Linked DNA regions of Drosophila melanogaster. The protein of the gene in region 1 interacts with the protein of each later gene in a pairwise test. Each region holds a gene or a part of one and is shown in the gene's direction. Other genes may lie near its edges.

Evidence for each region.
Region 2: the proteins of Fit2 (region 1) and CG9705 interact in a two-hybrid assay, tested with the Drosophila melanogaster proteins (one large-scale study listed by BioGRID).

Annotation. Positions count from the first base shown.
Region 1 is NT_037436.4:17,022,151-17,027,673, forward strand, and holds Fit2 (fermitin 2), read left to right. Parts: upstream 1-2,177; 5' UTR 2,178-2,507; coding exon 2,508-4,655; 3' UTR 4,656-4,967; downstream 4,968-5,523. Other genes in the region: CG6652 (uncharacterized protein), read right to left, coding at 1-336, 410-483; a10 (antennal protein 10), read right to left, coding at 1,052-1,248, 1,301-1,571; CG7730 (uncharacterized protein), read left to right, coding at 5,519-5,523.
Region 2 is NT_037436.4:16,778,263-16,783,163, forward strand, and holds CG9705 (uncharacterized protein), read left to right. Parts: upstream 1-1,837; 5' UTR 1,838-2,158; exon of another isoform or gene 2,159-2,242; 5' UTR 2,243-2,394; coding exon 2,395-2,528; intron 2,529-3,200; coding exon 3,201-3,323; intron 3,324-3,401; coding exon 3,402-3,576; 3' UTR 3,577-4,157; downstream 4,158-4,901. Other genes in the region: mus302 (mutagen-sensitive 302), read right to left, coding at 1-1,219.

The DNA of each region.
Region 1 (5,523 bases):
CTTAGCAACTTGGGCAGCTCAGCGTTGTGGGCCTCGTACTTATTCAGCGCCGATGACTGGCGATTGTGAAGCGTGCGCAGCATGCGATTCTCGTGCGCCAGATTGGCAATCTCCGCCTGGGCATCGGCCAGTTGGTTCTGGAAGGTCTTGGCGCGCAGATTCCTCGCGGACATGACGCGCTGATGGATCTCGCTGTGGTTCTGGGAGCTCATACTGCCGGAACCCTTCACGCCGCCACGTTGTTGGGGCGGTGGCGGCTTGCTGCGCTGGTAGATCAGGCTGGCCGACTCCCGGGAGCTGGCCGAGAATAGGCTCTCACAGCTCTTTGCCGACGCTCTAGAAAAGGGGATTTGGGGGGAGGGGAAGACTTTAGATGGTGGCTACTGCCGAAGATGTGTACTCTACCCACGCCATCAGATTGTTCGGTTCCGATTGGGATACTCTTGGGCCGTAGGACGATGCCAGCTTGCGCGGCGATACCATCTAAGGTCCTGCCGCTGCTCCGGAGGATTGTCACTGGGTTAGCTCGAGAAAGCTAATAATTTTCGGAGGCCAATTCGGATGTCTAGTGTATAGAAATAGATAGAGAGTCGGTGCGAGGTGAAGTCAAAATGTAACTGAAAACCAAGTGCCTGCTACTGTGGTTACGCCTTGATGTTTGATGTCTGATTATTGTTTATTGTTTGCTCCGCCGACTGCTGCGTTGTTGGGGCTGAATCCGGAATCGGGGCTCCTAGGAACTGGTTGCCATGACGCCTCCGATTGCTCGTCTATCGAATTGGGGAATCGAGACGACTTGTATTCGTTTTCAAACGCTTCCGCTTCCGCAAAATTTACAATTTCTTCTTTTGAAGCAAAATATATCTGTAACTATGTATTTAAGTTGTTTAACTAGTAAAATAATTCGCATTTCGGGTAATTAAAATTTAATAGATTCTTACGGCTTGGATACTTTCAAAAAGACCAAAGGTTGAAGCTTCTCTGCAGTTTATTCGTTAATTAAAGCAACATAAAATCACTTAAGTTAAAAACGACGTAAAATAGAGATTGATTATGGCTCCTCATTGGCCTTGGACTTCATCTCCTGGTATTTGATGCGGTAGGTTCCCTCGGGATCGTAGATCTTTTCCAGACGCTCCCAGTCGGTGGGTCGGTTGTCGATGAGATGACGGGTCACCTTTTCAGCACCATACCGCTGCTTCTCCGTGCACTTGGTGCAATCGGTTTGGATGGCGTCGGGCAGGATCTCTACAAGAGATTGGGTATTACCGAGAATTATTGAATTGGGCTTCAAGCTTACCCTTCAACATCTTGGCATCGGGAGTGCAAGGACCTGTGCCCTCCAGGCACTTTATGTAGTTGATCAACAGTCGCTCTTGGTTAAGGATCTCGTCCAGATCGACGTTGTCGAACTTATCGTCGTAGGCCTGCTCCACCATTCTTTCCATCATTGGTGACGGCGACGTGGCCGGCGGATGGGGTAGTCCTTCCACTTGGAAACAGGTGGTGCACATCAGTGCCACCACCAACGAAACGTGCCCAATGGCACGACGGAAACCGGGCTGTCCCATTTTCGAATCGATCGTATGCTGCTAACCGTATTAGCAATCCGGGCTTTTATATGTACAGGCCTCCGTTTGGAAATACACTGCGTGTCTCCGTCCAATTTGACCACTTACCAATCGGGCTCAAATTAAGTCAATTTAATTTGATTACCTTGAGCCCATCAACAGGCAAATGCGGTAGTGGCTTATTTTCTAAAGAAATTAAAAAAAAAATCATTCTGGGCTAAGCAGTTTGTTTTTTGTGATATAAAAATAAAATATCTAATAAGTTAGCAATCAATAATTATAGGGCTTTGTGTGATACTATGAATGTCAGCGTTCTGAAACAATTTTGCTTACTAAAATCTGCATGCTTAATCTAAAATTCTAAGCTTTTGAATTTTTTTGGGACCTACAAAAATGCAAAATTATTAAAGGTCCTTCGGTTAAGAATTTAAAATTATAGTTCAAACTTAAAAGGCATCCCATTAAATTGAATTTCAAAACTTCTTCGCGCCCATAAGTTAAATTCTAATAGGTGTAATCTAAAACAGTAATCGAAAATATATCTTTTTCCATCTGGTACACCGATCAACGAAATAATCGATAGCGATTTGGAAAACCAAGTCAGAGATATATCGATACCAGAGCGAGTGGGTAAACCAGTCGGTTCGGCGCTTTCTTTTTCAATGGACTGAATTTTCTTTAATTGCTCTATTTACGCAAGCAAAACGAATCGATGCAATTGTCCGGATCCGGAAATATTGCGGCATAGTCAACGCAATTGCAGTGAATTTTCAACCCGTGGATTGCGTCACAGTGCGGAAAATGCGAATTTGACGACCATCTGTGCGCCGATCGGTGGAAAACTCTCGACTTTGCTGTGGGCGCCCCACCAAGGACGACCTAGAAACGCCCCAGACGGGCAGCAGAAAGTAGGACAGGTGACATCACAGCAGCACCATGATCCACGTCGGCGAGAACTCGTGGAATCTGCGGATCTTCATCACGGATCTGGCGCTGGAGAAGACGATGCGCGTGCGCGGTGACCAGCACATTGGGGGCATTATGCTGCAACTGGTGGATCCGGAGAATCCCAAGGACTGGTCGGATCATGCTCTGTGGTGGCCAGCGCGGAATGTTTGGCTCAGCCGAACCAAACTTACCCTGGATCAGTGCGGTGTCCAGGCGGATAGCCTTCTGCACTTCACGCCCATGCACAAGATACTGCGGGTGCAGCTGCCGGATTTGAGGTACCTGGACTCCCGGGTGGATTACTCCGTAAAGACGTTCTCGGCGGTGGTTAATCTATGCAAGCAGTTGGATATCCGCTATCCGGAGGAGTTGTCCCTGTGCAAACCACTGGAAGCGGAGCACCTGAAGCGTAACTTCGCCCAGGTGCCGCATCAGAAGCGAGTGCCAATCGCTGAACCAGATGGCACCACTTACCTGCAGCCTGCTGCGGACACCAACTCATTTGTGCCCATCAGCACGTCGTTTCATGGAGAAGGCGGAAGCACGGGCAGTCTGGACAAGCCCTCTGCACCGGGATCCTTCTTCTGTGCTCCTCTGTCGCCGCACAATCACCGAGCGCGCTCGCCAGTGCGCACCGTATCACCTTTTCCAGGCACCTGGAAACAGAGCCAGCTTGGCTATGCCACGTACGATTCGAGCTCCTCAAGTCTTGGCGATTTCCAGGAGAATTTGGCCAGCTCTCCGCCCACCCCATGCGCGGATGTGCGAGCTCTTCAGCTGCGCCCCAAGTCGCTGGTGGAGAAGGCTCGTCTGAATGTGGGCTGGCTAGATTCCTCGCTGTCCATCATGGAACAGGGCATACGCGAGTACGACACGCTGTGCCTGCGCTTCAAGTATTTCACTTTTTTCGATCTAAATCCCAAGTGCGACCAGGTGCGCATCAATCAGCTGTACGAGCAGGCCAAGTGGAGTGTTCTGAACGAGGAGTTGGATTGCACAGAGGAGGAGAGCCTTATGTTTGCCGCCCTCCAGTTCCAGGTGAACCATCACGTAGATCATACACCCCAGGGTGCAGCAGTGGACTCGGGCATTGAAACTTCCAGTCAGGAGAATGACAACGAAGACGAGATTGATTCGGCACTGAAAGAGCTACAGATTACGCTGGAGGGACCGGACTACGGCGGAGACTCGCGGAATATTACACGCATACCAGAGCTCTCTGACTATTTGCGTTACTTGAAGCCGCAAAGATTCACGCTGCGCGGCTATAAGCGCTACTACTTCACCTATCGGGATCTGCATTTGCATCTGTTCAAGAACGCCGAAGATTCGCGACGTGTTGCGCCTGCCATAAGCATTAACCTGAAGGGCTGCGAAGTAACTCCGGATGTAAACCTGTCCCAGGGAAAGTATGCTATCCGGCTGGAGGTCTCTCCTGATGGTGGCCACGGTATCAACAGTGAGGTGTGGGTGCGCTGCGAGAACGAGCAGCAGTACGCCAAGTGGATGGCTGCTTGTCGTTTGGCGGCCAAGGGAAGATCCCTGGCGGATAGCTCGTACGAGAGTGAAGTGGACAGCATACTCTCGCTACTGCAGATGCAGCGACCCGCACACGGAGTTCATGTAAACATCGATCCTCGCTCTGTGGAAGCAGTTGATTATCTGTCGCCCAAGATCATCCGCAAGTTGTCGAACAAGGCAGTCCAGCGGATCCTCGAAGCACATGCCAACGTTCGGGAGCTGAATGCTTTAGATTCAAAACTGAAGTACATCCAGGCATGGCGTTCGTTACCTGACTTTGGAGTAAGCCTGTTCATCATTAAGTTCGACGGGCATCGGAAGGAGGAGCTGCTCGGCGTGGCCCACAACCGCATTATGCGCATGGATCTGAGTTCGGGAGATCACATCAAGACCTGGCGATATAACACCATGAAGGCGTGGAACGTCAACTGGAACATAAAGTGCATGATGATTCAGTTTGAAGACGAGAATGTGGTCTTCTCCTGCCACTCAGCCGACTGTAAAGTGGTGCACGAGTTCATCGGTGGTTACATTTTCATGTCCATGCGATCCAAGGACACCAACCAGACCCTGAACGAGGAGCTTTTCCACAAACTTACCGGCGGCTGGTCCTAGTACCATTTATTGCTCGATTTTAATGGCAGGCAGTTTCAATTGTTCGAATTTTGTTAAGATAAACCACTGTTTTAACTGATAACCAACTGATAGACTCACAACTTCAATGCAATACATGTATTTAATTTCACTTTATTTACCTTTTAACTCGTTGTTAACTAATCTTGTTGATGATTTTTCACCACGAAAATCGCTTGCCAATGGCCTTTTTGCCTGCCCAACACCTAATTAGACTTAACCGTGGCCTTAGCAATGTTTTTGTATAACTAACTCTTAAGTGTATATTTAAATAAAAATCCCATATTAAAATTCAACTATTGCTTGGGTATTGGACTTTTCGGGGACACTAGTAGATTTTTTGAGGTTAAAATATTAAATTACTGAGGTCAGTAAAGGTCATTAAAAGAGTAATTTACTGATAGTCCAAAAATATTAAACTTGTTCAGTAAAACATGGCAATTAAAAGTTAAGTAAAATAATTATTAGGTACCAAGTGGATCAAAGACCAAGGAAAACTGTGGATCGCGAAATAAGTTTTAATTTAGAACTATTACTACTTGAAAGAATTACTATTGATTGAAAAAGTTTTGAACCGAATTTCTATGGCATTAATAGATTTGAGATTTAAAATAATATTGTCAAAATGTATCATTTAAAATTACGCGGTATCGATTGATAAACTTATATCGTGAAGCTTAATCGATTAGCTCTCGATAATTTGGCGCCAGCTTTGTTGAATTGTCATGGAAACGAAATTAGCATTTCGACATTGATTTCCCATTAAAATACAGTCTCTAAATTAAAGTAAGTATATTTAACTTGGGCTGCAGATCAAAAGTGCCAGATTCTGCAGTAATTAGGATATGGA
Region 2 (4,901 bases), 240 kb from region 1:
AGATATAAACTCCACCTCGCAGATCTCCGCCGTATAGAAAGTGTTCGCGCTCGTTGCGATCCAGGGCGCAAGACCACAGCATCTTGTCATGAGCGGTGAACATAGACGAGCAAAGCCGTGTTCTTATGTCGAATATCTTGATCTTTAGTTCCCGACTGGCCACAGTGAGCAAGTGCTGTGAGTCACTAAAAGCAATGTCCCGGATTAGGAGTGCCGAGGTGTGCAGGAATTGCAGGGGCTTGAAGGTAGGTGGATCAATAAAGCGTACGCCGTAGCCGGGGAACAGGTTTTGGGCACTCTTTTGCGAGGCCACCAGCATGGAGTGCTTGGCGGAATAGAGCAATACACGGCAGCCGGGATCTCGAGTTATCTCGAAGTTCTTCTCCATGTACAATCGGTAGGTGGCTAGTTGTTGAATGCTCTTCTGGCCGGATGCATCGCCTCCGAAGGCTCCCCGACCACCACCTGCCCTCACCAGCTCCTTAAGCCGTTCGTAGTCCTTCTGCAGGAGAATCAGCTTCTCAGTGGTGAGTGTGTTAGCCAGCTTCGCGGTAGCCAGCTCTGTTGTTAGAGTATGTGTACGCCGCCGCTCCGCCTCCAGCTGCTCCCTAATATCCGTGTCCAGCATCTGAATGCGCTTCGCATACAGATGACGGATATCTCTAAATGTGGCCTTCGTCTTGCACTGCGGGCACACCTTCACAGAAGATTGGCGATGGCTTTCGTTTAACCACCGCCGAATGCAGCTTTCCCCAAAGAGGTGACCACATCGCAGCGAGACCAGTCGATGCTCGCCACTCATCTCCCAGGAATCCAGACAAATGGGACAGGTCATGCCATCGTCCTCGTCATCTACAACTATTGGTTTGCCCTCGGGCGACTTTTTAAGGCTTTTATCGGCAGCAGCGGAGAGACGTTTACGTTTCTTGGGCGGTGATGGCGTTTCTAATGAGATCACCTCCTGCTCTTCGCCTTGATTGCGGCGGGAATTTCTCGGGGGACTGGGCAAATGCGGAGGATCTACCAGAATTAAAGGCGGAACTCTCGGTTGCTCGGGTTCCGCGTTCTCACCAGGCTGGTCACGTTGTTCATCAATCTCAACCGCCGGCTGCAGACCTTCAACTGGATTGAGGATTACCTCATCATCACCAGAGCTATCATCTGTAGAGGTCTCATCGGCATAAACTTCCGGATCAAGAGCTTCGGTTTCATTCTCCATTCCTTGCAGCAGGATGTCTGAATTCCGCTTTCTCGCTTCAGACTGATCGCATTCCCTGCTGCCCGATGAGTATATTTCCGGATCCACGGCGCTGTCGCCTTTTGCGAAACCTTCGCTGTCCGTTTCACCTATATATGGTCTCAATCAAGTTTTCCTCTTGGAAAACATGAAAGTTCTTGTTATTATTTTATCTATTTCGCGACTTTCCTGCAATAGGACGCTAAATTTCAAGCTAGGGATGGTCAAGATCGAGATGCTTTAGTGATGGAACAACGGGGTGAAACTATCGAGTACTACATGTAAATAAATATATTTAAATATTCATTGTTAGTGTGGACAACATATTAGTCTGAACACATTTTTTTCGTATATCAAGCATATAAAAAAAGAATCTATATAAGAGTTGAGTGTTTGTGCGGAAAATGCAATTTTTTAATTGTTTAAAATAATTATAAATGCTTTCAATTAAATTTTCACATCTATTTATTCTACCAACAAGTTGGAGTAACTTGTAATTAATCCTGTTTGTTCGTTAAATTTGATTTTCAAATTTTATTCATGTTGCTATAAACATCGATTGCCAATTAGGCTAAGCGATAGGTTTTGGGATTTCTGGAACATTCCAAAACGTTCACTCTGAGGTCTGACTTTGACGCCTCCGCCGCCATTCGTTAAAAAACTGAAATTCTTAAAAAGCGCGCATCAAGCCGGTGTAATAATTGATAAAAAAGTTTAAAAAAATCCCAGATTCCAAAGTTGATAAAAGTCATACCGCGCAGGACTGATTTAGGGGGTACAAATAACATTGGCAACCGGCGTTTCGCACAGCGGTAAAATTTGCATCAGTGTGTGGGTGTTTCGCAAAAAAAAAAGAAGCTAAGCCAGGATTTTTGGATTGCCAATTATCAAGGTGCTAGGAAAGAGGGCGTGAAGTTGTCGGTAAGCTGACCGAGTACACGTGAATTAAGTGCAACGCAATTTGCTGACTGACTAACCCGCCCCCCGTGGCCTTGAACTCGACAGACTTGGCTGCCGTCCACTCACCCACAAACACACATACGCACATATATACACACGCGCAAGCCGCTTCTACTGTCTGAAGAGAGGAGAGGAAAAGAGCGAAGAAAGGGGAAGAACGCATAAATCGGCAAGTAAACGAGCAGTGTAAGAAAGCCATGACCGAACCAAGGACGCCCGAGAAGCTGCTGGCCGCCAAGCCGCCGGTTTTACACCACAACAGCCATAGTCCCAATGCCTCGCTGCAGCTGCCCAGTCCCATCATCACGAGGCGCACTCGCACGGCCTCGACGTAAGTCCTCCTGCACTGCCCTGCCCACCCAACCAGCAAAACCACCCACCCACTACTGGCCCCACACACACTTGACCCCAAGGGGAACTTGGCCCCTATGCAGAGCCTTTATGGGGCCAAATAGGCGCCGAAAGTTCACATTATTTCACAAGGTTCGCTCTTTTGTATGAAAACCAAATACAACCTTTTGAAATAGTAAAAGAATAGCATGGAAGCTTGTAATTTCTAAAGCAAAAGCTTTCTATAATGTTTTAAACTGCATTTGTTGAATTAGATGAGCAAACATAATGAAACAAACAGTAATTAGTAATCGAACATGGAACACTTTATTGGTTCCACATTTACATTTAATATATTTATTTTTATGTGTATATACTTATAAATATTTTTATAACCGTAAGGACCATTTTTTTTGAAAGTTTAAATTTGTAAACCCCATACTTTTTCAATTATTTCATTGTACATACATACATACATTCAGAAATCAGTCGCTGCCGAATTTATAAGCTCTCGGAACCCTTTCGAACATAATCCACGTACTTAAATTCTTCCCCCTCATATCCCCATGCGCATCCTCCATTGATTAACTTGTCTCTTCCTGCTTAATTCTTTTCCCAAACGCTGCCAAAACGCAAACACGCGCAAACTCAAAATAACGCTGAAAAAACATAGCTCCGCTCGGGCCTTGGAAAATCCGGTTGTGACCGGTATGGTGAAATCCTTCAGCCGCACCAAAGGACACGGCTTCATTACACCCAACGCCGGCGGAGAGGACGTTTTTTGCCACGTTTCCGAGTAAGTGAATGAATATTGCATGCGCGGCGACCTTTGCGCTGGCTCTGTAAGACCTACAAAAATGTAATCTTCCCACAGCATCGAAGGTGAATATGTGCCCATGCCCGGGGACGAGGTCAAATACCGTCTGTGCGCCATTCCGCCCAAGTATGAGAAGCACCAGGCCGTGCACGTGCAGATTAGCCACCTGACGCCGGAGGTGCACCACAAGTGGGAGGAGCCATTCTATGGTGGCTCCTCGCCCGCTAAGTAAAGCTGAAGCTTGTGGCCCTGGGAGATTTCGAAGCTCGGAAGCGGAAAAGTGTGTTGTTAAAAGCTGAACGGCCTTCCAAGAAATTTAATTGAGCTAGAGCACGCCACCCGAGATGAACGAAACGGAAAACCGGAACAGAACAATAACCATGAAAGTAAACGAAAGCACAGCAATCGAAGCAGCCAGGAAAAAGCCGAAACCAGACCAGAACGTAATAGAATGGAACAACAGGCCTGCCATCCAGCCAGCCAGCGAGCAGCATCACAAGAGTTTCAATTGAACACTTAATTAGAATTTAAGCTAAGCTATGGAAGTCAAACAAAACGCAGTCACAAATATTGCCTTTCCCTCTGGAAGAGGGGAGAGCAACCGCAACCAGTTTCGAGTATATTATTAAAAGCGCGTATGTATTTGGAAATTGAAATTGTTATTCGAGAAGCCACTAGCACAGCGCCTGCGATGCTGTGGTGCCCTGTATCAGTAATTACTTTTAATTATAACAAAACATCTGAATGTGTTCGCGAAGCAAACAAGCAAAATGCTCTCAGTAATTCACTTTATTATTAAAACAGCTGCAAAACAATTCCATCGGTGATTTTTCTGGAGTGGCGTGGGAGTTATCAGCATGGAGTGTGTATTGTACGCACAATTGCGGTCAGCATAATAGCCGCTTGCTTGTATGTGTTCTAATAAAATTTTATGCAAAATTATTAATCTTACGTTTTTATTACGGCATCTAAATGTTCATTTTAGATATTAGCTAATGTCTGATTGTAATATCACGATATTCATAACATGGCAAAATATTGTTTTAGCCGCAGCTGTAACTTGTATTTAATTTAGTGGTGTATCTTATCTGCAGTGAAAGCAGATACTTTTTGCAGCCCAAAGCATACATGAATTTTTGGCTCACTATTGAAAATATATTTCCTGCGTTCTGCAGAAAATCGAAACCGTAACATATTCAATAAAAAAAAACCAACCTTTTTGCCACAATAGATACCTAAAGATTTCCGCCCGCTAAATTTATCAAGTAGAGCCATAAATAGCCAAACCAACTCATACTCCTAAAATTATGGATTTCCATTTCGTAAGTCTCCCGCCACTCAGTTTGAATTTCGAATGATTAGTGTGACCATGCGGCGGTTTATAGCAACTGCATGCGTAGTGCGACAGAGAGTTGCTATAAAAATATATTGGAACGTCAACAAACATATGCCACGAAAGAAAATATTCCGATTCAACGGAAAATGAATTAATTAAAGACCGAACTGGCAGATATTCAGAAAGCCATTCGATCGTACATTTAACCAAATTAAAGGCAT